2 linked regions of the Callithrix jacchus genome follow. The main gene of each other region encodes a partner of the protein of the gene in region 2 in a complex. Links are inferred from orthologs where the notes say so. Each region holds a gene or a part of one and is shown on either strand. Other genes may lie near its edges. The genes, in order: NPPC and NPR3.

Region 1 (11,789 bases), on a different chromosome or scaffold from region 2:
GAGCCGTGCCCTGGGTGGCTTCCACAGGGGCCCCCAAAGAAGGGGGATGAAGTGTCTGCTGGGGCACCTGTGGCAGTTGAGAGGAAATGAACTTGTGAGGGAAGTTGGAGAAGCTGGAACATGCATTCTCTCTCTCTCTCTCTTTCTCTGTGTGTGTGTGTGTTTGTGCGTGTCAGTCTCACTCTGTTGCCTAGGTTGGAGTGTAGTGGGGTGATCACAGCTCACTGCAGCCTTGATCTCTGGACAAGCAGTCCTCCTATCTCAGCGTCCCCCTGAGCAGCTGAGACTACAGGTGGGCACCACCATACCCAGCTAATTTGTTATTTTTTGTAAAGATGGTCTCGCTAAGTTGCTGGAGCTGGTCTTGAACTCCTGGGCTCAAGTGATCTGCCCGCCTTGGCTTCCCAAACTGTTGGGATTACAGGTGTGGCCACCATGCCCAGCCAGGAACATGTCTAAAAGAGGATTTCTCACCTGGGCAATGTCACTGTGTTGGCTGCCCAGCCACCTGAGAGGTTGCTGCTGGAGGGCTACCTGGGGCAAAGGTCCTGGGGCTCAAACACCCACAGAAAGACCAGGTGCCACTGGCTACCTCCCCAGTGACAGGTTTTTCTCTGGAACTCTTCCTCCAGGCCTGCAGATCCATGAGCACAGGGCCACACTGCTCCCAAATCCCCTGAGCAGGGCGCTGCCAATCCACTGGTGTTATCAGCCCAAGAGGGCATGTCCCCACCTTCCCCTATCAGGCGACGGATGACAGGGAAGGCTGCACAGGGCTGTCATCCAACCGAGCATGTAGTGAGAACACCTTGGAATTATTTCAAAGTTTCCTGCTGGTTTTAGGAAAAGAGATTCTCATCTAAATTATATTCATAAATTCTAAATTATATTCATTATTCCACACTCATAGCTCCATGGGGCATAGGAAATGTAATTGTCAGTGGCTTCAAGTGAAAAGAAAACCCGCAACCCTCCCACAAAGCACAGCACACTACAGATACGAAACTTGACAATACCTTCTCCTCTTCGAGGTCTTGGCTCGCAGCTGACCATGGCAGTCATTACGAGGCAGAAACTACCCACCCTGGGCTTTGTGAGCTAGTCTAGAAAACAGAGTTGCTGGGATTTGTAAGGTGACGTGATCGATTCTGCAAGATATGCAGAAGCCTTCTAAATCTCCCAAAACAGAGGTTTAGCAGCTACTTCCTCCACTAATAGCAGAAGATGGAGCAGAAGTTACAGGACCCTAAGTCAGCTGAGTTCAATGTTAATTTTATTTTTTGAGATGGAGTCTTGCTCTGTTGCCCAGGTTAGGGTGCAGTCTGTGATCCCCGCTCACTGCAACCTCCCTCTCCTGAGTTCAAGCAATTCTGCCTCAGCCTCCTGAGTAGCTGGGATTACAGGTGCCCACCACCTCACCCAGCTAATTTTTCTATTTTTAGTAGAGTTGGGATTTTACCATATTGGCCAGGTTGGTCTCGAACTCTTGTCCTCAGGTGACCCACCCACCTTGGCCTCCCAAAGTGCTGGGATGACAGGTGTGAGCCACCGTGCCTGGCCATTATTAATTTAATTCATAATGTCTGACTTTGTAGCAGTCAGATGTTTGAGCAGAGCTTCCTGACCTGGCTGAGCTGGTCAACAATCACTTGGGACAAAACTTGTACAGCCAGTCCTATAAGATTCGGTAGATAAGAGGGTGGTGGAGGCAGGAATCCGTATTTTACAAGCCCTCCAGGGCATCCTGACACAGATAAATCCGGAACTGGGAATCTGGCTGTCAGATCTATTTGGAAGCAAATGCCTTTTCTCCACATTCTCCCTCTGCCTCAGCCTAAGTCCGAAAAAATAAAGACAAGTAAATGAAGATGGTTTTCAAGATATTCATGGAATGACATTTTTTTTTACATTTTTTCAACTAGTTAGGACAAAAGCATTACAATGATTGACTTCTTTCATTTAGTTACATAAATAAAACTTTTATAAATATCTCTTTATAAACATTATAAATAGCTTTACAACATAAATACATTTAGGCATGACATGAATTTACAAACAGCAATGTTTTACAGCTGGTTCTGTCAGTCTCTTAAAAACTGTCCCTCGTCATCGAGTCGGTGTAGGTGTGTGTGTTTCATGTATATAATATATATATAATATATAACTTTTTATTTTTCATTTTAAAAAAACAATAAAATCACAACCCCCTCCCCAAATAATAATAAAACAGCTGGTGTCATGTATTCCCAGTACCAGGAAAAAAAGAAAGAAAGAAAGAAATGTAAAAGCCACATTGCGTTGGAGGTGTTTCCAGATGCTGGAGGCTGATGACCAAAGGTGACCTCAGCACAACGGAGCCAGTTTCCAATCCTGAAACACAGAATGGACATGCATGCTCAGTTCTGGCCTCTTAGCTGAGAAATCCCAGCGGGCTGGGTGGTTCTAGACCCTTTCCTCCCCTTCCCACAGCAGCTTGAGGGATGCCCCTGCCCCTCTCCTGTCCTGACCAGGCCTTCCTGCGGAGGGGGGCTCCCTCTGCGCACTCCCCAGCCCCCTTGGCTTTGCCATCCCAGCCCAGGTGGAAACAGAGTGTCCGCAGCCCTCCTTCCCCCTCAGCCTAACCACAGGCCTTGCCCTTGGCCCTCAGGGAGGCACAGAGAGAATGGAAAATCTCCCATCCCTTTTTTGCTATGACATAAACCCTCAGTCAGTGCTTGCCTGGGCTTTGTGTGTATGGGTGACTGTGGATGGAAGGAGAAAGGAGACATCTCAGGAGTCAGGAAGCCTGGGCTCACATCTCTACCCTGACATTGACTCCCTAGATGACCCTGGATGGCTTGGAGTGTTCACCCATAAAACAGGATAATAGCCACCTCCCTGTGGCTGGCTTTTGGATTCAACAGGGAGTCTCGGATTGGGCATCGGCAGAGTCTGTGTCTCAGGTGCCACCCGGCAAACAGCACCTCCTTCCCCAGCTGTTTGCGCAGAGGAAGGGATTCAGGTCCCCTTGAGAGGCAGAGGAAATGGTGTCTCACACCAGCCCTGGGGGATGCACAGTCATGGGCTCTGGGTTGAGGATTGTCAGGGTGAAGTCCCTGCTAATGGGTATATGGGTGCCCCGGGGACCAAGGAAGGTGGCCTTCTAGGACGTTCAGTGCCCTCCCAAAGGAGAGCATGCCCTGAATGAACCTGGGCCAGAATGGCTTGAAGTCTCCCCCACTCCCGTCTCTGGCTCTGCCAGGTGTTTACACAGATGACAGCTCTCTGTGATGTCGCTGGGCCCCAGGGCCAAAGTGTTCATTCAGGTTACAGACACCCCTGTCTCTGTCATTAGCGTTATACAATCAACACCTAGAACCATCTGCGACCATCATTATGGTGGTGCTCAGAGCCCAAGTCAACGCATGCATGGAGTTACGGCCAAAACCTCACTGAGTTTTCCTTAACGTGAAAAATCGAAGCTGTCTTTTCCTTTAAGCCCAGTGATACACCCTGGGCATCACCACCAGGAACCTGCAGGAAGGATTTCTGCTCTCTCACTGGGAATGGGGGGCAGTGAGGTTGAGGTTTTTATTTTTCATTAAAAAAAAAAAAACAAAATAATAAAACCACACCCCCCTTCCAAATAATAAAACAGCTGGTGTTGGGGGTAAGCTGGGGTTGAGGGGTTGAGGGTAAGTGTTCATCCAGGCTAAGGGAGCTTGTAGGAGATTAATGAAACCTACTCCCCATCAAAGGGGTCGAGAATTCTTAGCAATGTGGATTCCTCCTACATAGCATCTTTCTCCACCCTTTTGGCCATCACTTGGTGACTGCAGACAGCCAGGCCCAAGAACAAGGCCCTATGGGGATGTGAATTCCAGGCATGAACCCATGAAAGGTTCACTACCATTTGTTCAGATTCGAAAGTTTGAACTTGACACAAGTCAAATTGAAAATTTGAGGCCTCAGATTATCTCTTTCTTGTTTAGACAGGAGAAAAGAGAGCAAAGGCATTCCAAGGGTAGCTACTGAAGTCTGGTTCCCAAGTGTCAGAATCATTTATCTCCCTGTGCAAGGGACAGTCAAGGTCACAGACAACTGAAGCCTCTGCAGAATTGGGGAGAAGCCCACAGCCCAGTGAGGTCTGGCTGCAAAGAGAGGAAGTGCGCTGGTTAAAACCTAGGGTAGGTGGGAGTGCCGGTTTCTCTGGTGATTGACAAATATTTCTAAGAGTCTGTTAGGGGTGCAGTGGGTCCTGGAGTGCCTTAAGCTGTTCAATACGGGGAGGTGAATGGGTTCACACACTGTGCAAACATGTTCTGTACTGTAAAAACTATTTTTTTACAGTGTGCTGGAGAGGCGCTCTCGTTTCCTTCTGGGTGAAGATCGGATGCTGACGAGGGTTTCTGGGGTGGAGACAGCAGCCTGCCCATGGCCTGGGGTGGGACAGTCAAGGTGTGGGACAGGCAGTGGCAGCTGCTGAGCTGGAGGCAAGAAAGCCAGAAAGCCTTGGGAGCCTGATCCTAACGCACATGATTGTCGATGTCAGAGACTGGGTGCTGTTACTCAGTGGGCACTGTCAGGTGGCAGGAATAGAGCAGAGGGAAGGAGAGGTGAGGCCCTCTGCGGCTGGAAATTACCACCTTGTGGCACCTGGCAGAGTGTGATGGTAGGGCAGAGGTTTCCCACCCTAGCGCCATGTGAGACCCCACACCAGAAACAGAGCCTGGGGCACCGGTTGGGTGGGGGAGAGGGTTGGTGAGGGACTCTGGGACATGTTGAGTTTGAGGTTGAGTTACTTTGTGTCTTTCCTTTTCCCTGAAATAGCCACAAGCACTGAGGTTCACCCTGAAACCACCAGGCTGCAGCTGCCTCAGGACCCTGGACAGACCAGTTTGCCCACTGCCTGGGTCTAGAGAAGGGACAGGAACTGGAGTGCCCCAGGCAGAAGAGGGTCCCGACAGTGCCAGAGGGCTATTCTCCCTACAGGGGGCATGGTGGCCGGCAGATGATGAATGTCCCCTGGACTTCTGGGTGTACCTTTCCTTCTCTGCTCCCACAAACCCATGATCTCCCCTCAATCCCCCCACCAGCTGGCAAATCGGGGCCAATGCTGCTAGTTCAGCTACGGTTGAGGGGTGGGTAAGACCCCACCAAGCTTGTTTCTGTTTCTCCAAAAGAAGCCAGGTGGGTTCAACCAGGCTGAGCCATTTCTGATCTTGCCAAAGTTCCCCGATCACTTTATCCTTCGCTTTCTTTGTCTGTAAGTGGGATAATAAGGGGGCGGCCGGCAAACGGCTAGCACAGCTTGAGCATAGCGGGCTCGCACTCTCCCCTCTGAAGGCCGGCTGGGCGGCGGGCGGCGGGGCCGGGCTGGGGGTGGGCGCGGGGTCGGCAGTACTCACCGCCGCCAGGGGGCGCCACACTAACATCCCAGGCCGCTCATGGAGCCGATTCGGTCCAGCTTGAGGCCGAAGCAGCCCTTGGACAAGTTCTTCTTGTTGGATGCTTTGTGTTTGCGCGCGTTGGGGTGCTCCTGCACATGGCGGCCCCACGCGGCCCGCGACTTGGTGTCCGCGCGCAGGTCCCGGAGCAGTCGCGACCGATCGCCCTTGAGGTTGGCGCCCCCGCCCCCGGGAGCCTTGTCGCCCTTCTTCTGACAGCCGCCCGCAGCCTGGGGGTCCGCCAGCTCCTCTCCCGGCGGGGTTCGCGGGACCTGTCCGAGGAAAGAGCGGGTAGGTGAAGGGACGCGCGGCTGCAGCACGAGAGACTCTGACTCTCCAGCCCAACGTGCCCGCCGGCGCCGGGTGTCCCTCCCGAGCCCGGAGCCGCCGCTACGGATTCCGGCCCCCTTGGCCCCTCATCCACCTGCCACGCGGCCGCCGCCGCCGCTCACTCCGGAAGCCCCCTGCCCTCCCCTCCTTCGCCGCTCGACCGGCAGGCCACACTGGGACAGGGGGCTGCGCGTGGGCCGACGTTCTCCCGAGGCTGGGGATAGGGACCCCCGAGTAGGCGCTTCGAGGGCTCCCCGGCTCTCGCCCGCGCGCATCTCGGAGGAGAGGGCCGCTTTCCTTTCCTCTCTGCTGGGTCCTGCGCGCCGCATTCTCCAACCCCCCAGCCTCCCAAGCCTCTCCCAGGCTCGGTGTCCCCAAGACAGCACCCACCTTCTGCTGCGCCCCGGGCTTGGCTTCGGAGGGCCGGAGTGAGAGCAGCGTGAGCAGCAGGGCGCAGGCCAGCAGCTGGGAGAGGTGCATGGTGCCGCTGGGGTCGAGGGGCGCAGACAGGCGGCAGCGAGGGCGCGCGAGTCGGCGGGCAGACCGGCAGGCAGGTGCGGAGCAGGCTGGCGGGGCTGCAGGGTGAGCAGGGTCCCAGTGCTGCGCGGCGCCGGCTGGGTGCGCTCTGGGCCCGTGACTCCGCTCGCGCCTTTATAATCCAACCTGCCGCTGATGTCATCCTCCCGCCCACCGGGCAGCCCGGGCCAATGGCACCACGCACGCGGCAGCGCCAAGGGCCAGGAGGGGGCCGCGGGGGGGGGCTCCCCTCCCTCAACCCACCCCGGAGGGATCCCGCGGCTCGGCGGGCTCGCTCCGTACTGCACTTGGAGCTGCAAAGCAGCGCGCCCTGGGGAACTCCATTTGCAGCGAACGCGCGACCTGGCCTGCCGAGCATCGGTGCGCCTGGTGCCCTGTGAAAGCGCTGGGTCTTCACCACACTCGCCCTACCTGGAAGGGATCTGTAGCCCTCTTTGCAGGTGCAAAGATAGGCTCAGAGGAATGAAGTCACTTGCCCGAAGTCATACAGGCAGAAAGTTGGTGCTGCCCGAAATCCACGCAGCCCTGCTTGTCGTCTGACAGGCGCGGGATGGCATAGCAGCTCTGCCTGTCACCTGCTTGCCAGGGCAGGAGGGCAGACCACAGGCGGCCTCGCTAGGTTGGGGAAGCAGAGGATGGGGTTGGAGGACTGGGGTGGGAGGCGCAGGGAGAGCGGGGTTCGCCTGGGCCGCAATGGGGAGCGCAAGTCTTCCACATCGGAGAGTACAAGCTTGCAGCCAGCCTGAGTATTTGAGCGCGAGGCGACAACGAGGGGACTGCAAGCGCGGGCGGCCCAAGACGTCGATGTTCATGCGTGTGCTTGGCGGCATCCTATGCTCGCCAGTTAAGGCTCTAGGTTCACGCTCAGCCGGTGTCGCCTACACAAGAACGTCCCTGGGTCTGACTCCGCTGGTGAATTCCGTCTGTGGGAACAATGAGCGCCTGACCCTGCCTGCACCCACGCGAAGATCCGCTGCTGAGGGAAACCCGCTCCAGTATCCTGTGCACCTTCCCAGGCTGGGGAAGGAGCTTCCTAGCCAGCCAGCGGCCCAGTCTGGCCTCTTCTGGCCATGACAGGTGGTCAAATTCCCATTTTTAGCTGTAGAAAGGTCCTCGTGGCTCTCGGGACACGGCCACATATCCCTGCCGGTCATGAGCTTGCAAGCCTTGCGCTGGGCTTCTTGGTCCCTTGAGCACTAAGGAGTGTGGTGGGCACATGGGTACTGAGGTGTGAGCCGCAGAGGCGGACAGCCCAGATCCCCCAAATTGAGTGAGGTGCAAGAATCTATGACTGGCTGCTGCTGAGCAGGACTCAGGCTGGACAGATGAGAACAAATGTTTCGGCAGGAGTGCAGTGGCTGCCCCCAAGCGTCGAGACCATTCCAAGCCCAGATGAGCTTTTCCAGGAAGAGGAGGCTGTGCCTGAGGCAGGAAGGCAGCTGGAGTGAAGAGGGGCTTCGAGAACCAGGTTTCCCCCTAGGCTCCTCTACCTTCAGTGGCAGTAAGCCTGGTCCCAGAGCTGCAGAGGCAGCAGCATCATTGTCTGATCTGTTGGCCCCTTTCTCAAGCTACCCCTTCCCTCTTATACCCTGAGTCACAATGCTGGACCAACCACTCCACAGGTCCCTTTGTGCAGGAAACAGCCTACACCTGAGGTCTGAGTTTGGGGCAGCAAAATTTCCTGGTCTCCAGGAAGATCCAGACATCAACAGGGTACCTTTTGTGGGTTCTGGAGTTGACTCACCACCTCCACGCAGCCCCCCAATTCCTCTCCACATTAACACCCATAGAGTGGCACCACTCTTTCATTTGAGGAGAAAGGAAGAGGAACTAGAAGGCAGAATAGGGAGGGAATCCAGGTGGGCTGTGAAAGTTCCCTCTGCTTTTTGCCTGCTATACAAAGAAGGATGTTACCATTTGGAACTTCTCTGACACGTGCTTTCTTCATACCTGTTTAAAGAGCCAGGGACAGCCACAGAGATTGATTCTAGAGTCAAGCTCTGGGCTGGTTTCCAGGGGCGGGTGGTACATCCTCTAAAGCCCCTTATTAAGGGCAGGTCGGAAGCTTCCGCTGTTTTGGCTACTTCCTTCTACCTGAACGTCCGTAGACCGGTCTTTCCTGTCTTTGGTGTTCCTGGACACATTTGCATCCAGGTGATTGCCCAGTGACTATCTGGCTCTCCTCTCTGTTTCAGCTTTGAAGCTAAATTAATAAAACTGACACCCCCAACTACTGTGGCAGAGCCAATACCCTGAATGCCTGTTCCCTTCTTTGGAAGGGAAATCTGGTGAGCTGCCACTCCTGGCCACTGGGCGGTGGTCATCTGCAGAAGGAGGCTTCCCCAGGGCAGGCTGTGGAGCAGCTTCTACTTAGCTGGGGCCTGGGAGGTGGGAGGGAGTCAGAGGCCTGGGCTAGAGGGACTGTGGAGGTGTGTCATTAGCACAGATCTGCCTTGAAAACAAAGATTTCCCCTCTCTTTTTGCTTTCCTTGCCTGGGGAGCTGCAGGGGAGGCCCTGTCTTCCTCCTGGGCCTCCATTTGGGACTCAAGCCCCTTCTTGCTTCTTTTCCCTTATGAAGTCCGCTTCTTCTGCCCCAAGCCCCAGGGGCATGGGCTGGGAAAGTTGAACTGACTGAGCAGCTGAATATGAGCTATTCAAGTCATGTTATTGACTGCTGAATTTTAAATTTCCTCCTAACGGCAAAAGAGGAAATTTAAAGGCCCCAAGGACCCAGTCATTCTGTAAGAAATCCTGTCATTTTCACTGATCTCGCTGATTCCCCCCCAGTATCTACTGAGCATCCCTGAAGCCTGCAGGGTTCCATCCCAGCCAGGAAGAACCCACTGGAGACAGACATGAGCTTCGTAGGCTGAAAAGGACAATACCAGGGAAGGGGACAGCTCAGGCTGAGGCCACCCAAGGAAGGCTCCTCCTCCATCCCGGACTAGCAGGGTGGGCTTCCTGGAGAAGGAAAAGTCTGTGCTGAGCCTGGAAACACAGGAAGAGAAAGGACGAGAAGAGGAAACCCTTGACAGAAAACCAGGCTTCCCAGCACTTTGGGAGGGCAAGGTGGGCAGATCATGAGGTCAAGAGATCGAGACCATCCTGGGTAACACAGTGAAACCCTGTCTCTACCAAAAATACAAAAATTAGCTGGGCATGGTGGTAGGCGCCTGTAGTCCCAGCTACTCGGGAGGTTTAGGCAAGAGAATCGCGTGAACCTGGGAGGCAGAGGTTGCAGTGAGCCAAGATTGCACCACTGCACTTTAGCCTGGATGACAGAGCAAGACTCCTCAAAAAAAAAAAAAGAGAGAGAGAGAGAGAGAAAGAAAAGAAAAGAAAACCAGGCTAACAGTGGAATGTGCTAGAGTCAGGCCTGGGGGGTGCTATTCGAGAAAAACCAAATGCGAGACCTCACAAAGGGCAACGCAGAGGGCAGAGGAGACCTGTGAGACTGCAGAACCCCACGTGCCCAGACCTAGGGAGGGTGGAGGGATTCAGGCAGGGGAGCCCAGAGGAGGCAGGCTGGGGAGAGGCAGTTCTGAGTTCGGTGGTGTTCTGGAGGCAGAGTGTGTGACAGAGAGAGGGAACACTGCTGAGCTCTTGGAGGTGGGAAGGGCAAATGAGTTCATTGGGGGTGCCTGAAGATGAGGCAAAGGGAAGGGGGTCAGCTAGGTGTGGGGGGAGTGGGAGGGAGCAGGAAGTGGAAGGCAGAGCCAGCCTTCAGTGTCAGAGAGCTGTCTGGGTGAGTCCAGGGTATCGGCTCTGCCACAGTAGGTTGGGGGTATGCAGAGCCTTCAGCGTCGGAGAGTTGCTTGGGTGGGACTGTTTACTCCCTTCTTGCCCTCTGAAGGGCGGGACCCCATTCTGTGGGCCCCTCTTCAGGCTTTCTTTCCTCCCAGAAGGGCAAGGTGAGACTCTCACACCTACTGGAGAGGGGCCCTTCCTTGGGACAGGCAACGTCTGGCCGGAATCAGGACGCGATGGAAGATGGGAGTGGGCCCTGGTCAGGATGCCTGGTGGGAGAAAGGTGTGTGGAAGGGCTTCTGGGAAGCTGGGGAAGGAGCAGCTAAGACGGGACTGTCCAGCCCAGGTCCCAGGAGGGAGGAATATGAGCCCTGCGAAGCAGCGCCCTCTCCTGGCCCCAGGGCTGCAGAGGCAGGTTCTCAGGCATACAGGAGGGGAGGGTTACAGAGTGGCCCATCTGTTTCTCTGCAATTATTTCATCCCAGGGCCCCCTTCCAGCTGCATAACTTCTCAGAGAGGACACTAAACAGGCAGTGAGCCGGTCTTGAGGCCAGGTGGGGAAATTGCTGCGGGACCCTGGCCAAGTCCTGTCACTGCGTGGGGCCCTCAGTTTCACCACCTGTAATTAGAAAAACATCATCCTTGCTTTCTAGACAGGGCAGAGTGAATCCAGGGCCTGATAAGAGGTTTCCAATCTCTCCCTGGACAAACGCAGCAGGAGGCAGCTGGGGTGGAAGAGAGATCTGAATGTCACTGCATGCACACTCGTACTTCTGGCGATAGGACCCCCGCAGCCCCTGAGACTCCCTAGGACTGTTTAGTGGTGCTGCCCTTCAGAGGACACAGAGGCCAGGGCATGGCCAGGTCTCCTTGAGCTTGGTACCTTTCTCCAGGAGTCCTGAGCCCATGGGGCTGGACTGGAGTACTGGAGGAGGTGGAGGCCAAGGAAGTGTCATTCATCCTTCACGGGCCAGAGATTCCAGGAAACCTTAACCTCATTGTGCCACCAGTCTTTGACCCCAGGACACCCCCATCTGATGAGCCAGCTGCCCTTCTTCCCTTTCCCAGGGGCCCTGCCAGCACCTGCTCCAGATGGCCTCCAACTCCACTGTCCTACGCAGCCCATGACGTCAGAGTTCATTCCTCCTTTTCCCTCGCTTGTCAAAAAGAAAAGATAGGTCCTCCACAAATAGGCTTTGTTCCCTGGGGGAATCAACAGCTCTCCATCTGGCTGTCAACGGGCAGGTGACGGGGGCAGGGGGTGAGGCTTCAGCTCCAAGAAAGTGAGCAGGGTAGTGAGCAAGAGGGCCTCCCCAGCAGAAAAGAGCTCAGCACCCCAACCTCAGCTCAGAGCCGGCACCAGATGTTTGCAGAGCAAATGGATCTGCTGCCAAATTCTCGCTCTGGGGACAAGTGCTTGCCTTGGCTGGACTCTGGTAAAATGTTGGTCATGTGGAGCTTTTCCAAGAAGTGAGCCACTCTTTTCCTGCTCTGGGGGTTCCTGCAGCGAGCCCACCCTTTTAGTTTGTACCTGGAGGAAAATGTCTATTGTCTGGTCTTGGAGACCTTGTCTCAGATTTGACAGTGGCCACAGTCTTCAAGGAGGAGGTGGCTTCTCCCTATGGATAGAAGGGACCCCTAAGTGTCTTACAGAAGCCCCCTAACTTGGCACCTTTCTAGAAAGGATCATGGAATGGACTTGCTAGGATCCAGGACCACCAGTCACCTCCAGGGAGCCATGTCTCTGG
Region 2 (11,753 bases):
TGGAGATTGCATCTTTGTATCTGTTGTTCATAAAGCTCCATCTACTCCAAAGGCCTTTAGAATTTCCACACTGCAGCCTACAAAGCTCTTCTTTTCCCCACTCCTGTGTTATTTTACACTTATCATGGGTTCTTTCCTTAAAAACACTGCTGATTGACCACTCAATCATTTACCCCAGACAAATTCTAAAAATAAATGACTCTTATATTGATTAAATACTGTTATCTCTACTGTCATTATGCAGGCCCAGATTAATGACATACTAATAACTAAAACTATAAAACTACAGTTCTTGATATAAACCAGGATACTTCTGGTTCTGCATCATATAAAGCGCATCCACAAAACAACTACTGACTTTAATTGCTTGAAAAAATTATTTCTAAGCCTGTCTCTTTAAAACAAAATTTATTGTTAAGTGTGTGGAATATGAGGGCAGTAGCTGGCTGTACAAGTGAATTCGTTTTAAATAAAGATAATTGCTTTTAAAAATAACACATGTTCAGTTCTGTTTATTGTAGTGGTATTAGCAAAAGACATGACAGGAAAAAATGACTTTAAATTACTGACTTAGATGGTAAAATAATGGATGTCCGTTAGTCTTTCTTTCTACAATATGCCAAGTAAAATTTTAGTCGCATTATTATTTGAGATACTGGCATGGTCAGTTTTTTACTTGCTAAGAAATTCAAACATTTGTGATTTGGTTTTAAAGAGAAACTTACGTCCAAAAAAGTAATACCAACATTCTCACCAAAAGAGGGAGAAACTCCCTCTACTTTAATTCATAATGCTTAATAGGGAATTTTCAAAAGCAAAAATATTGTCCATTGCATTTCACACTTGAGTGAGAATATCAGTTTGAAGAGGCCTGATTCTCACCCCACACATTGTTTCACAGAGAAGAAAACTCAGATAAGACCAGCCAAATCCAGAGGCATCTGCATCTCAGCCCAAGGTTCTTTCCCATAGCCTGGCCTCACTCCTGGGGTAAAGTTGATCATGATCATATATAAAATAATAACTACAATTAAACTGCACATTTATTGAGCACTTCATATTCATCAGACACTGCTCCCACGCATTCCTGTGTTAGCTCCCCTCAGCCTCCCAGCTTCCCAAAAGATGTGGGTGCTCTGACTACCCCCACTTTACCTGAGAGGCCGAGATCCCCCGGCCAGTGAATGAGCCACAAACTCCACTGCAACCACATACTGAAGCCCTATTTAATGCATTAATTGCTCATGGTAAAGTAACTGTGATTCATTGTGTTTGTAAAACGTCCCCTAAGAGAGCTTTGTTATCAAGCAACTTTCTCTCCTGAGTGTAAGGAATTTCGGGGTGGAAGTGGGGGAACGATTGGAGGAGAAGCTGTTTTGTTTCATATTTCTAAATATCTGCCAGGTCACTGTTGGAAATATTTTTAGAGTAAGAATTGTAAGATCCTAATCTTATCACTTGTAAAATATACAGTTCAGTTAAGCCAACTTTCACCACTCAATGCAAACTTGGCGGTGGGGGAAGCAAAAAGACTTCGGAAACTCTATGAGGCGTTTGGAATTAAAAAGTAATTCCCAACAGCCGACTGCAGCCTAATCTTCTGAAGCCCAGGGCGCACCAGTCCCCAGGCCCGCCAGGACACTGCTGCCCGCCTACCCCCAGGCCTCAGCCGCTGTGAGGCTGAGGGGCCTCGGGCCGCCATCTGACCTCCTCTGAGGTCACACTGCCCTTGGTTTAGTATCCTAGGCCATGTGCGATGAGGCAGCCGCTGACATTGGGACCTACCGGGCAGTGGCATCACGGACCTGTCAGCAAACCGCGGATCTCGCCCGTAGGGGGACACACCCCCAGCCCCAGCCCGCCTTGGTAAGTCTGATTTCTAGCTCCTTGCCCTCGAAAGCCGAGAACTGAAGAAGCGGGTTCCGGGAGCCACTGCAGCTCGGGGCGCAGACTCCCGCATTGAGGCTGCGGTAACCCGGCAACTGGGAGTTGGGAGCCTAGATGTGGGTTCCTTGACTAGCCGTGGCAAGTCCGCAGCTGTTGGATACAGGTGCCCTTTTTCATAATCAGCGAAGCCTGCGACCCGCCTGCTTGTCTGGCAGGGATTCGGCACAGACAGCCTGGAGTTCGAGAGCTCAAAACTTGGCCACGCTTTCTCACTGCCAAACACCTTTCGCCTCTTTGCTCTAAAGGGTGAGTCCGAAGTGGCCAGGATAGCAAGGCAATGGCTGCAGCGCCATTATCAATGGCTTCTCTGCCCACTCTCACCTATTCGTGGGGCCCTCGGCCTCAGGTTGCCCTATCCCCTATGACCAGCGCCCAGGTGCCTGGCCAAGCCAAGTTGTGGACTCGTCCCCCGCCTGGCTCAGCTCCGCTCCCCTTCGGTCTCATCCGCGCGGCCCTGGGGTCTCGGGGAGCTTTGCCGGGATTGCACTGCTCAAATTCCAGGCGCGTGCGCGCCGAGGGGAGCAGAGACAGGATTCCCTCGATGCCTGCCCTCAATCCCTGACTCAAGGGAGGAGGGAGCTACGCTATGCTGGGATCTCAACCCGCCTTCCCTCGGATTCTACCCTACAGTAAAAAGGGCCACAGTGTCGATTACACACCCGCATCCACCCGCTCCCTGCAACCATAGTCACATCCTCTGCCTCGAGTTCTTTGTCCAGTTTGAGTTGTATTCCAATACCCAAAGACTCATGGAGAAAAATTGGGAGACAGGTGGAAAGAAGATTCAGCACCCGTTTCTTCAAAAGGCGCTCCCGCAAAGCTTAGCTCTGGGCGCATTAGAGACTGCGATGCAGAACGCGCCGGGGAAAGTGAGTGTCGCCAGAGTCCAGACACACAGGGGCATTTTTGGTGGAAGCTACAGAAGCTCGTTTATAAGGGGCTGGAAGGGGAATGAAAGGAATGAGAAGAGTGATTCAACAAGCCTTTAAAAGAAACCAGGGGTCTGTGGAAACAGCAGTCAGTGAAACCCCGACAGCGGGCGAGCCAAGTGGAGACGCCTGGCTGCCGGGCGTCCGCGGACGTTTCCGCCCTAAGAGGGGACGCATGCGGGCAAAGGACTGGGGAACAAGCTCTTTCCGCCTCGGATGCTTCAGACCCTGGTTGGAGCCAGGCACTGGGAATGCGCGCCCTAATCGCCAGCCGGGCGCTGGCAAAGTAGAAATCTGGAAGAAAAAAACCCAAGTGGTTTCACAGCACCTGCAGGACAGGAGCTGCGGACTCAGACACCCTCCCTCCAAATTCTTAACCTCCCTGGGGCCCTCTACAAACACCCCGCGACCGCGATGGGCGTCGTCAAAGGTCATCGCAGCCACACAGAGCACACCTGAAGGACTGCCCGCGCGCACCCGCCCTTAGAGCCGCAGAGGGGAGTGGGGTCTGCAGAGTGGACGGGTGTGTAGGGAGAGCCAAGGAGAGCTGTTGGGTTAGGGCCTGGGGCCCGGGACGCACTCCTGCTCACCTCTCTCACTGGCCTGGATATTGCGCACGATGTCTTCCAGGTCCAAGTCTTTGGTCTCGTCGAAACTGTAGATGGACGTGTGCAAATCCTCCGCCTCGAAGACCTGGTGGACCCCTTCAAGGGTGAAGTAGCAGTTCCGCTCCAGCTTGTCGTCGCTGTAGACCAGCACCGCGCGGCTCCACTGGTGGTGGCGGAACAGGGCGAGCATCATCTCGCCCATCTTGGCGTAGGCGGGCGCCACACGCGTGAGGTGCGAGTACTCAGAGTCCTTGCGCTGGAAGCCGGCGGCCAGCGCCCCGGCCGACAGCATGGGCAGGTCCCAGTGCGACGCAAGCCGGGCCACTGGCGCTGCAGCATACTCGCACACCGGCCCCAGGATAAGGTCCGGCTTGGCGCCCCGCGCCGCCGCCACGCGGTCCACCAAGTTGAAGAGCGCACGGTTGCCACAGTCCGAGTCCTCGTAGGCCACCTGGAAGCGAGTGCCGGGCGGCAGAAGCCGCCTCCCAGTCCCGTTGCCCTCCACGCTGCGCAGAGCATACTCTATGGCCGGCCGCACCCGGGTAAGCGAGAACAAGTACGAGTTATCCTGGGGTAGTAACACCAGCACCTCGATGTTCTCCGGCGGCAGCGCCTCTCTCTCCAGGCGTCCGCCGCCTACGCCCGCGCCCCAGCCGTCTCCGCCAAAGTCGCCGCCAAAGCCACCGCCACCAGTGCCGCCGGCCAGCAACGCCCAGCCGAGCAGGACGCACTGGGAGAAAGTGAGCACCAGCAGAGACGGCATCGTGCCGCAAGAAAGCGCTTGCCCTCGCCGCCGACTCGCCCTGTGCCCCCTACCCACCCTTCCTCTTTCCTCCCCACTCTTCTCTCCAAGGTCCCTGCGCCCCCTTGGGCGCTTTAAGAAAATAGAATACCCCCTTCACTGGCGCGCCAAAAGATGGAGAGGAAGAGTCCTTCCCTCCAATGTCACTAGTTTTTCTTTAAAAAAAAAAAGAAAAGAAAAAGAAAAAGTTCACCTGGTGTAAACCTGTGCGTCTGTAATATACATACATATACTTATATATATTCGCCCTCCCTTTATACATATACTATTTTGTTTAGAGGTGGCTTCTTATTTGGGCGTTGCTAACGTTGCTTTTGAAAGCGTTTTTGTAAAAGAAAAAAAAGTTAGACTTGTCCAAGTGTTTGTAATAGACGGTGCATCTCCCTCGCGTTTGATCTCATTGATTCGCGCCGGTTCCTGGATCCATAGCCCGCGTTTAAATAGTGTGGCAGCGGCTGAGCGTGTCACCACACACGGCGCGCCGAGGCCGGGCTTGTATTTCCAGCGGGTGGGGTGGGTGGGGGTGGGGAAAGGTGGGGACTGGGCTGGGGAAGTCTCCCATTAACATTATTACATCAGGGCTCCTCCCCGCACCCCTTCCCTACCCGTCGCTCCCCTGTCCCTAACCCCCACTCGCTGCCAGCCCTCTGCCTTTTCCTTAAAGCTGAAATCGCCCACGTCTGCATCGGCGAGAGCCCCCACCACGCCGCGCGCCTGAGATCCCCGCCTCTCCCTTGCCACGCTCTCAGGCTCCGGGCTTTAAAGAAGGAAATGTCCTTGAAAGTAGAGAAATGCGCGCGCGCGCATTCACACACACACACACACCATGTACAACAAAACAACAGGACTCGGGGAGAGGAATGGTTCTAGAAATTGTGGTTTCAGTGCAAAAATCCTCAGGTGCCGCTTGCTCTCACCTTTCTTATTCCGGCCACATTCCCTCCTGACGCAACTACGCGGCGCGAGCACCTGATCTTCCTGGTCCCTCCGCGCAAGGTCAGGGAACCAGTATCAAGGTTCCAGTGCAGATGGCTCCTTCGCGGACCTGGTTTGCCCGGCTGGCCCGGGCGTCACCCACACCCCGCCTTCCTAAGCCCCGAGCCAGCCCCTCCTGCTGGGCCACGCAGGTTCGCGCTGGAATCGCAGCGGTGCCGGGCCACGGTGTCCCAGTCCACAGACCCTCCGCGCACTGAGAGCAGGAAAGCGAAACTTGTTGCTCCCAAAGGCGAGGGAAAGGTTCAACTTCTGGAGGTGTCACAAAGCTCAGAAAGCATCCCCAAAGCGTCCTTGGGCTTTGTTTGCTAAACCAGGTATCTAAATAAAGAGACTGTCTTTCCCAAAACCTTTCCGGCAGGTCCCCTGGGTTCGATGCACGTTCCCCTCCACCCTGAGCGCTCAGAGATCCCAGCGCTCCTCCTCTGGAGCGCGCGAGGCGCTCTTGGGGTACTGCTGGGGTTCTGAGACGCCAAGAAAGGTCCTGTCTCAGAGACCCAGTCCTACCACTGGCCACAGCCACAACAGCGGTGGAGACCGGAGGGAAGCGGTTCTGGAGGAGTTGGTGACCAGAGGAGCATCGCCAGAGTCCGCCGCGGGGCGGGGCGGGTCAAGATGGACTTCTATGCATACCGCACCCGTCCTTTGCAATGTGAACGTGCTACACTGGGCGAGAGATTTCTGACAATTAAGTCCCGCAAATCGAAATCCACTGAAAATGTGTTAAAACGGTCTTATTTGACTAAGCGCCCATGTCCACACATTTTCTTTTGGTCTCAGACCAACGCCCTCTTTCGGCAGAAACTTGCACCCGACTCAACCCTGGAGCCGCAGTCCCAGACGCTGCGTTTTTACTCCGAGGCCTCAACGCGCTCGGGTTCTCTCGCTTCTGGCGGTGAAAAGGCAAACTGGGGTTTCTGGGGATGCGGCAAATTCTGGCGTCCGCGCTCGCCGCCCTTAACAGCACTCTCCTTGTCGCTCTTTCTGGAACCGTCAGTGTGATTGTGGGTAACGTTTCAGCTTCTGGGTCATTTAGATTTCAGATTATGCACTGTGATCCCGAAATCTTCACTGTTATGTAGGAGCTTCTAATTACTGCGAGAACTTTCATTTATTTGATTAGAGCCACTAAATAGGGAGCAAAAGAGACATCTATATAAAATTTCATTCGACCAACGGGGTAATACACACACACTGGAAACTGAGCTTTAGTGCTTCACAACAATTAATTCTTTCCTGAATTTGCAGAAGGGCAAGCGTTTACGTTTATGGCAGCATAGGTTAAAAAAAAAAAAAAAAAAAAAAAAAAAAAAAAAAAAAAAAAAAAAAAAGAACAGCAACAAAACAAGGGCTACATCTCCAATTCCAAGGGGCTTAATCGATTTCAAAACTGGTTGCCAGGAGACATGAAGGAACCAGGGTTTCCTATTACTTCGCAGTGTGCCCTGCGTGTGGGGAACACCAGCCGATGTCGATTTGATTCTGCCATGTCTGGTGTGGGTTTACGCGGAGAGTCTGGGATTTCAGTGGCCCCGGTGTGAACGCCTGTCCCATCCCAGATGCTAGCCAGCCTTGCCCACAGTTCAACAGGCGCTCACGGTAGGGTGAGTGCCCTGTAGCCTCTCCTTCTGGACAAGAGCTGTCGACTTGCAGTTTGTCACACTTAAGAGCACCAACAAAACCAAGCTGCGGAAGGGAAGAACCCCCAAACCACTCCGCGGAACGAAAAACAAAAAGCCCGTATTATGCTCTATGCTGAGGCTCAAAACACCCCCTTAAAAATTCCAACGAGCAAAAGTTAAAATTTTTTTAAAGGCTTTTCAAATGAAAAGAATCACAAGATTATAAGACCCACCAAGTAACATTAGTGTATGGATTTTAATGTTATAAGTTTGTTTACTTTCCATCAAATTAGAATTTTTGTAAACAACTGAAAGTTTGTGCAAATATGTAGTTCTAAATCTTCAGGCCAGAAGACTTAAGAAGTCACCCAGCCTGACACCCCTCACTCTCTAGATGAATTAAGGCCCAAAAGGGATGTCTTCATCCCCTGAGAATATTTTTAAATGGGATTGGATTCAAAATAAACCATGGACCATCAGTGACATCATGTAAAAAGTGTTAGGAACAAAGCTAATTCCTACTCTAAGTAATAACATTCTTTATATCAAATTTATATATATATGGCTAAGTTTTGAGGATAATACAGCACAATAAACCCAAAAATAATATTTTATGATAGAATTTTTGCAGCACTTTAATCACAAAACAAACCAAAAGAAAAAAAAGAGGAAAAAAAATAGAAATAACTTATTTCTTTGACTCAATTTTTAAATACTACTTCTTTCAATTCTGTGAAACCCCCAAAATGGGGAAAAAATAAATACTTTTGTAACATTCAAAAGAGTGATGACCTTTATACTGGCTGCTTCCTTTCTGGATTCAGTTGTCGAAGGAAACAAAGGAACGATATGAGAAAATGATGCACAATAAAAAAAAACTGGCCATTTGAAAGAAAGGCAATGTTGGCCCTAAACATGGTATTTCAGAAACGAATAGACTTTTTGTGAGGCTTAGAAATGTTTTACTTAATATCCACAAGCCATGTTTTGTTGTTTGGGTTTTTTGTGTTGTTTTAAGCTACCACTCTAAGGTGGCAAGTTTTCTATAGAGTATTCAACAGTTTGTTTTCCAGCTCTGCAAAATGAAATTACTGTCTTTATGTTATTTCTCACTACCAGGAAAGACACCACTAATATAGGCAACCTAACATGTGATTCTGTGAAGTATTGTTAGAAATTCTATCAGAAGTGAGTTTTCTCCACCAACTGTAACAGTCTCTGTAACTCTTGTCACTTGGAATCCTGACTGCAGCCTCTAACGTAAAAGCCCGTCCAGATTTTCAAAGGGCCTCTTCTCCCTTGTTGAGCCAGCCCTAATGTCGTATTCAAGAATACCCCTGTGAAGCCTGTGGCCCACAATAAATACCTTCTGAGGACAGAATTGTTGAAAACACACTCCCCCCTAGAGGCAGAAAAGATGAAAGAACATTACAAATAATTCAAGAACATTTCTGTAATGTAATGAGTGTTGAGATTTCATTCTTAACATATAGTTGCTGTTTTAGAGGGAACTATTCAAGAAGTTGGGGGGGGGGAATCAATGGATGCCAAAAAATTAAATTAAAACTTTGCCTCTAGGTTCTCAGTTTCCTTAGCAGGGACTTTATTAAATTATCCTTTTCTTCTATTATACAAATCTATGATTTTAATTTGCCAGCGCTATAAATAATAGTAATTTTATATTTTCTATGATTCCATTTCATCAGAAGCCGCAGCTAACTGTGACCTTAAGGGTTTGAAAACACAGAGTTGTTTCTCTATTATAATCCTCTTAGATTTCCATCAACTACAATCTTTCACTTCTTTGAAGATATTCTGAGGCAAAGTGACATTAAAAACACTTCTGAAAAATGTAAAACCTAATCGTGATTTAACCTGAATACCGGCATGATATTTGCAAACCATATGAAGAATTTTCATATCATCGATTTATAGATAAGTTACTTGATGTAGATTATGATATTCACAAAAAAGTGAGAATATGGGGGGACTTCAAAAAGCTCATGGAAAATGGAATTAAAATATAAAAATTTAAAATATGAACTTTATTTCTCAACCATCAAGTTCAAGACATTTTTCTGAGTGGCGATACCAATCGTGTAGTTTATCCCTAAAAAAACTAAGGGTCCTGGAAACCTAACCATGTCAATGCAATCTTTATTAACTGAAGAAAAATGAGTGCCCTCTACAGATTTATTTAAGATCAGGAAACAAAGAGAAGTCAGAAGGAGCCCAATTGGGACTATAATGTGGATACCTAATGATTTCCCATCAAAAAATCACCCTTGTTTGATGAGTGGAATGAGCAGGAGTATTGGCATGGTAGGGAAGAAGTCTCTGGTGAAGCTTTCCCAGATATTTCTTTGCTAAAGTTTTGGCTAACTTGGTCAAAACACCCTCATAATAAACAAAAGTTATCCTCCAGAAAGTCAACAAGCAAAATGCCTTAAGCATTCCAAGAAACCATTGCTATGACCTTTGCTCTCAACCACTTCCACCTCTTAGTAGCCACTACTTTGATTGTGTTTATCTTCAGGATCATGTTGGTAAAGCAGTGTTTCATCTCCTGTGTATTAGGCCATTCTTGCAGTAACATAAGGAAATACCTGAGACTGGGTAATTTATAAAGAAAAGACATTTAATTGGCTCATGGTTCTGCAGAATGTACAAGAAGCATGGCACCAGAATCTGCTCAGCTTCTGACGAGGGCCTCAGCAAGCTTACAAGCATGGCGGAAGGTGAAGGGGGAACAGGCATCTCACATGCTGAGAGAGGGTTGAGGGTTGTCAGGGAGGTGTCACACAGTCAAATAACCAGATCTCATGAGAACTCACTCACTATTGCCAGGGACAGCACCAAGTCATGAGGGATACTCCCCTATGACACAAACATCTCCCACCAGGCCCCACCACCAGCATTGGTGATTACAATTCAACATGAAATTTGGCAGGGACATATATTCAAACTATATTGTCCTGTTACAATTCTCCAAACAAACGCTTTGGGATCTTTCACTTGTTTAAAATTTCCATTGGAAGTTCCACTTTTGTCTACAATGAATCTGGTTGCAACAGTTTTGGCACCCATTGGCAGAACTATTTGCTGAGCTTTAATTTTTCCATCGGAAGTATGTAAGCTGAACCAATTTAGATATCTATGGTGTTGACTGCTGTTTCTGCTGTTAATCGCTGGTCTTCTTCAATTACAGCATTGATATAGTTTGGATCTGTGTCCCTGACCACATCTCATGTTGAATTTTAATCCTCAGTATTTCAGAAGGGGCCTGGTGGGAGGTGATTGGGTCATGGGGGCAGTTTCTCATGGTTTAACACCATCCCCCTTGGTGCTGCCATGGTGATAGAGTTCTCATAAAATCTAGTTGTTTAAAAGTGTATAGCATCTCCCCCTTCCCATCTCTATTCCTCCTGCTCCAGCCATGTATGACATGCCTACTTCCCCTTTGCCTTCTGCCTTGATCATAAGTTTCCTGAGGCCTCCCCAGAAGCTGAGCAGATGGCAGTCATCTTGCTTCCCGCAGAGCCCGCTGAACAGTGAGCCAATAAAACATCTTTTCTTTATAAGTTACCCAATCTCAGGTATTTCTTTATAGCAGTGTGAGAATGGACTGATACAAGCAAAAACAAGGTTATTTGTTGTGTTTGTTTTTTTTTTTTTCTCAAACTTGATGTGGATGGTCTGCCACTGTGGGTTTCATTATCAACATCATCTTGTCCCTTCTCAAAATGAGTTATCTATTTGCAAACTTCTGATTTCCTTAAGGCATTGTCCTCACAGGCTTTTTCTAAAGCATTTCACCATTTTTCCACCCAAGCGTCACCATAAATTTAATGTTTCTTCTTGCTTCAATTTTAGCAGAATTCATTTTGCTCTGATAGTGCCTCAGACTAAATCCTATTTAGACATGTCATAAAAAGTTAGTGTGAGTTTATTTTGTTACAAAATAATTTGGAAATTTATGCATAGCTTTTTTCATAATACACATATTCCACAAAATTTTCGAAGACCCCTTATATGCAGTTCGACTTCATGCATACCAATACTGATTATTTAATTGGTTTATTTTGTTGTAAATGATTCTTCCAAAAACGATTTGAGAAAGCACATAAATATATACAATCAAATTTTAGAAAACTTTCCTGCACTGGCTGAGGAGTGCAGGAAATGGGCAGGGCCATGTGCAAATGCCAGTGCATGTTGCAGAGCCACTGGGTCTTACTCTCTTGTGCTGCTCTACTTTCTTCCTCACGCTTTTAGTAATGGGCAGACATGATCTCCTCTCCCATCTCAGATTTATGAGCACAACAAACTTTGTTTCCATTTGCAGGAAAATATGTCTGGCTTGGGATCCAGTCTCTGGAGTGGTATTCATGCATTATAGAAGCCTCATAAACATGCCTGCACATTATCACCTAACCTGTTTAACCTTCATTTTCTCACTTCTCTCAGTTTTCTCACTTCTAAAATAGAGATATCAATTGGGAGACAGAGCAAGCTGACTAAATAGAAGCCTCCACCAGTTGTCCTCACTACAGGAATACCAAATTGAACAACTATACACACACACACACACACACACACAAAGCACCTTCACAAGAACCAAAAACCAGATGAGAAATCACAGTACGTGGTTTTCATTTCATATCACTGAAAGAGGCACTGAAGAGGGTAGAAAACACAGTCTTGAATTGCCAATGCCACCCTTCCTCCATCCCCCAGCAGCAGCCACATGGTGTGGAGAGAGAAGCTGTGCACTTGCAAGAGAGAGTGCAATGACTGTGAGACTTTGCATTGGGACTCAATGCTGTCCTTTCACAGCAGAAAGTAACACTGA

The links.
Region 1: the proteins of NPR3 (region 2) and NPPC are in contact, whole or in part, in a crystal structure (PDB 1JDP), measured with the Homo sapiens proteins. The link is inferred for Callithrix jacchus from reciprocal best matches to the Homo sapiens genes NPR3 and NPPC. Residues at the interface, in NP_001191304.1 of Homo sapiens: Asn110, Tyr138, Ala141, Pro142, Arg145, Ala161, Gly163, Phe164, His166, Glu170, Tyr171, Tyr204, Lys208, Leu209, Arg211, Tyr214, Phe215, Leu217, Glu218, His221, Glu222, Gln225, Ile233; in NP_077720.1 of Homo sapiens: Gly109, Cys110, Phe111, Gly112, Leu113, Lys114, Leu115, Asp116, Arg117, Ile118, Gly119, Ser120, Met121, Ser122, Gly123, Leu124, Gly125, Cys126.

What each region holds. Positions count from the first base shown.
Region 1 is NC_133507.1:153,337,394-153,349,182, forward strand, and holds NPPC (C-type natriuretic peptide), read right to left. Parts: upstream 6,384-11,789; 5' UTR 6,237-6,383; coding exon 6,147-6,236; intron 5,699-6,146; coding exon 5,408-5,698; 3' UTR 5,388-5,407; intron 2,371-5,387; 3' UTR 1,864-2,370; downstream 1-1,863.
Region 2 is NC_133503.1:172,600,120-172,611,872, forward strand, and holds the start of NPR3 (atrial natriuretic peptide receptor 3), read right to left. Parts: upstream 5,347-11,753; 5' UTR 4,248-5,346; coding exon 3,467-4,247; intron 1-3,466. UniProt on the Homo sapiens protein: Receptor for the natriuretic peptide hormones, binding with similar affinities atrial natriuretic peptide NPPA/ANP, brain natriuretic peptide NPPB/BNP, and C-type natriuretic peptide NPPC/CNP.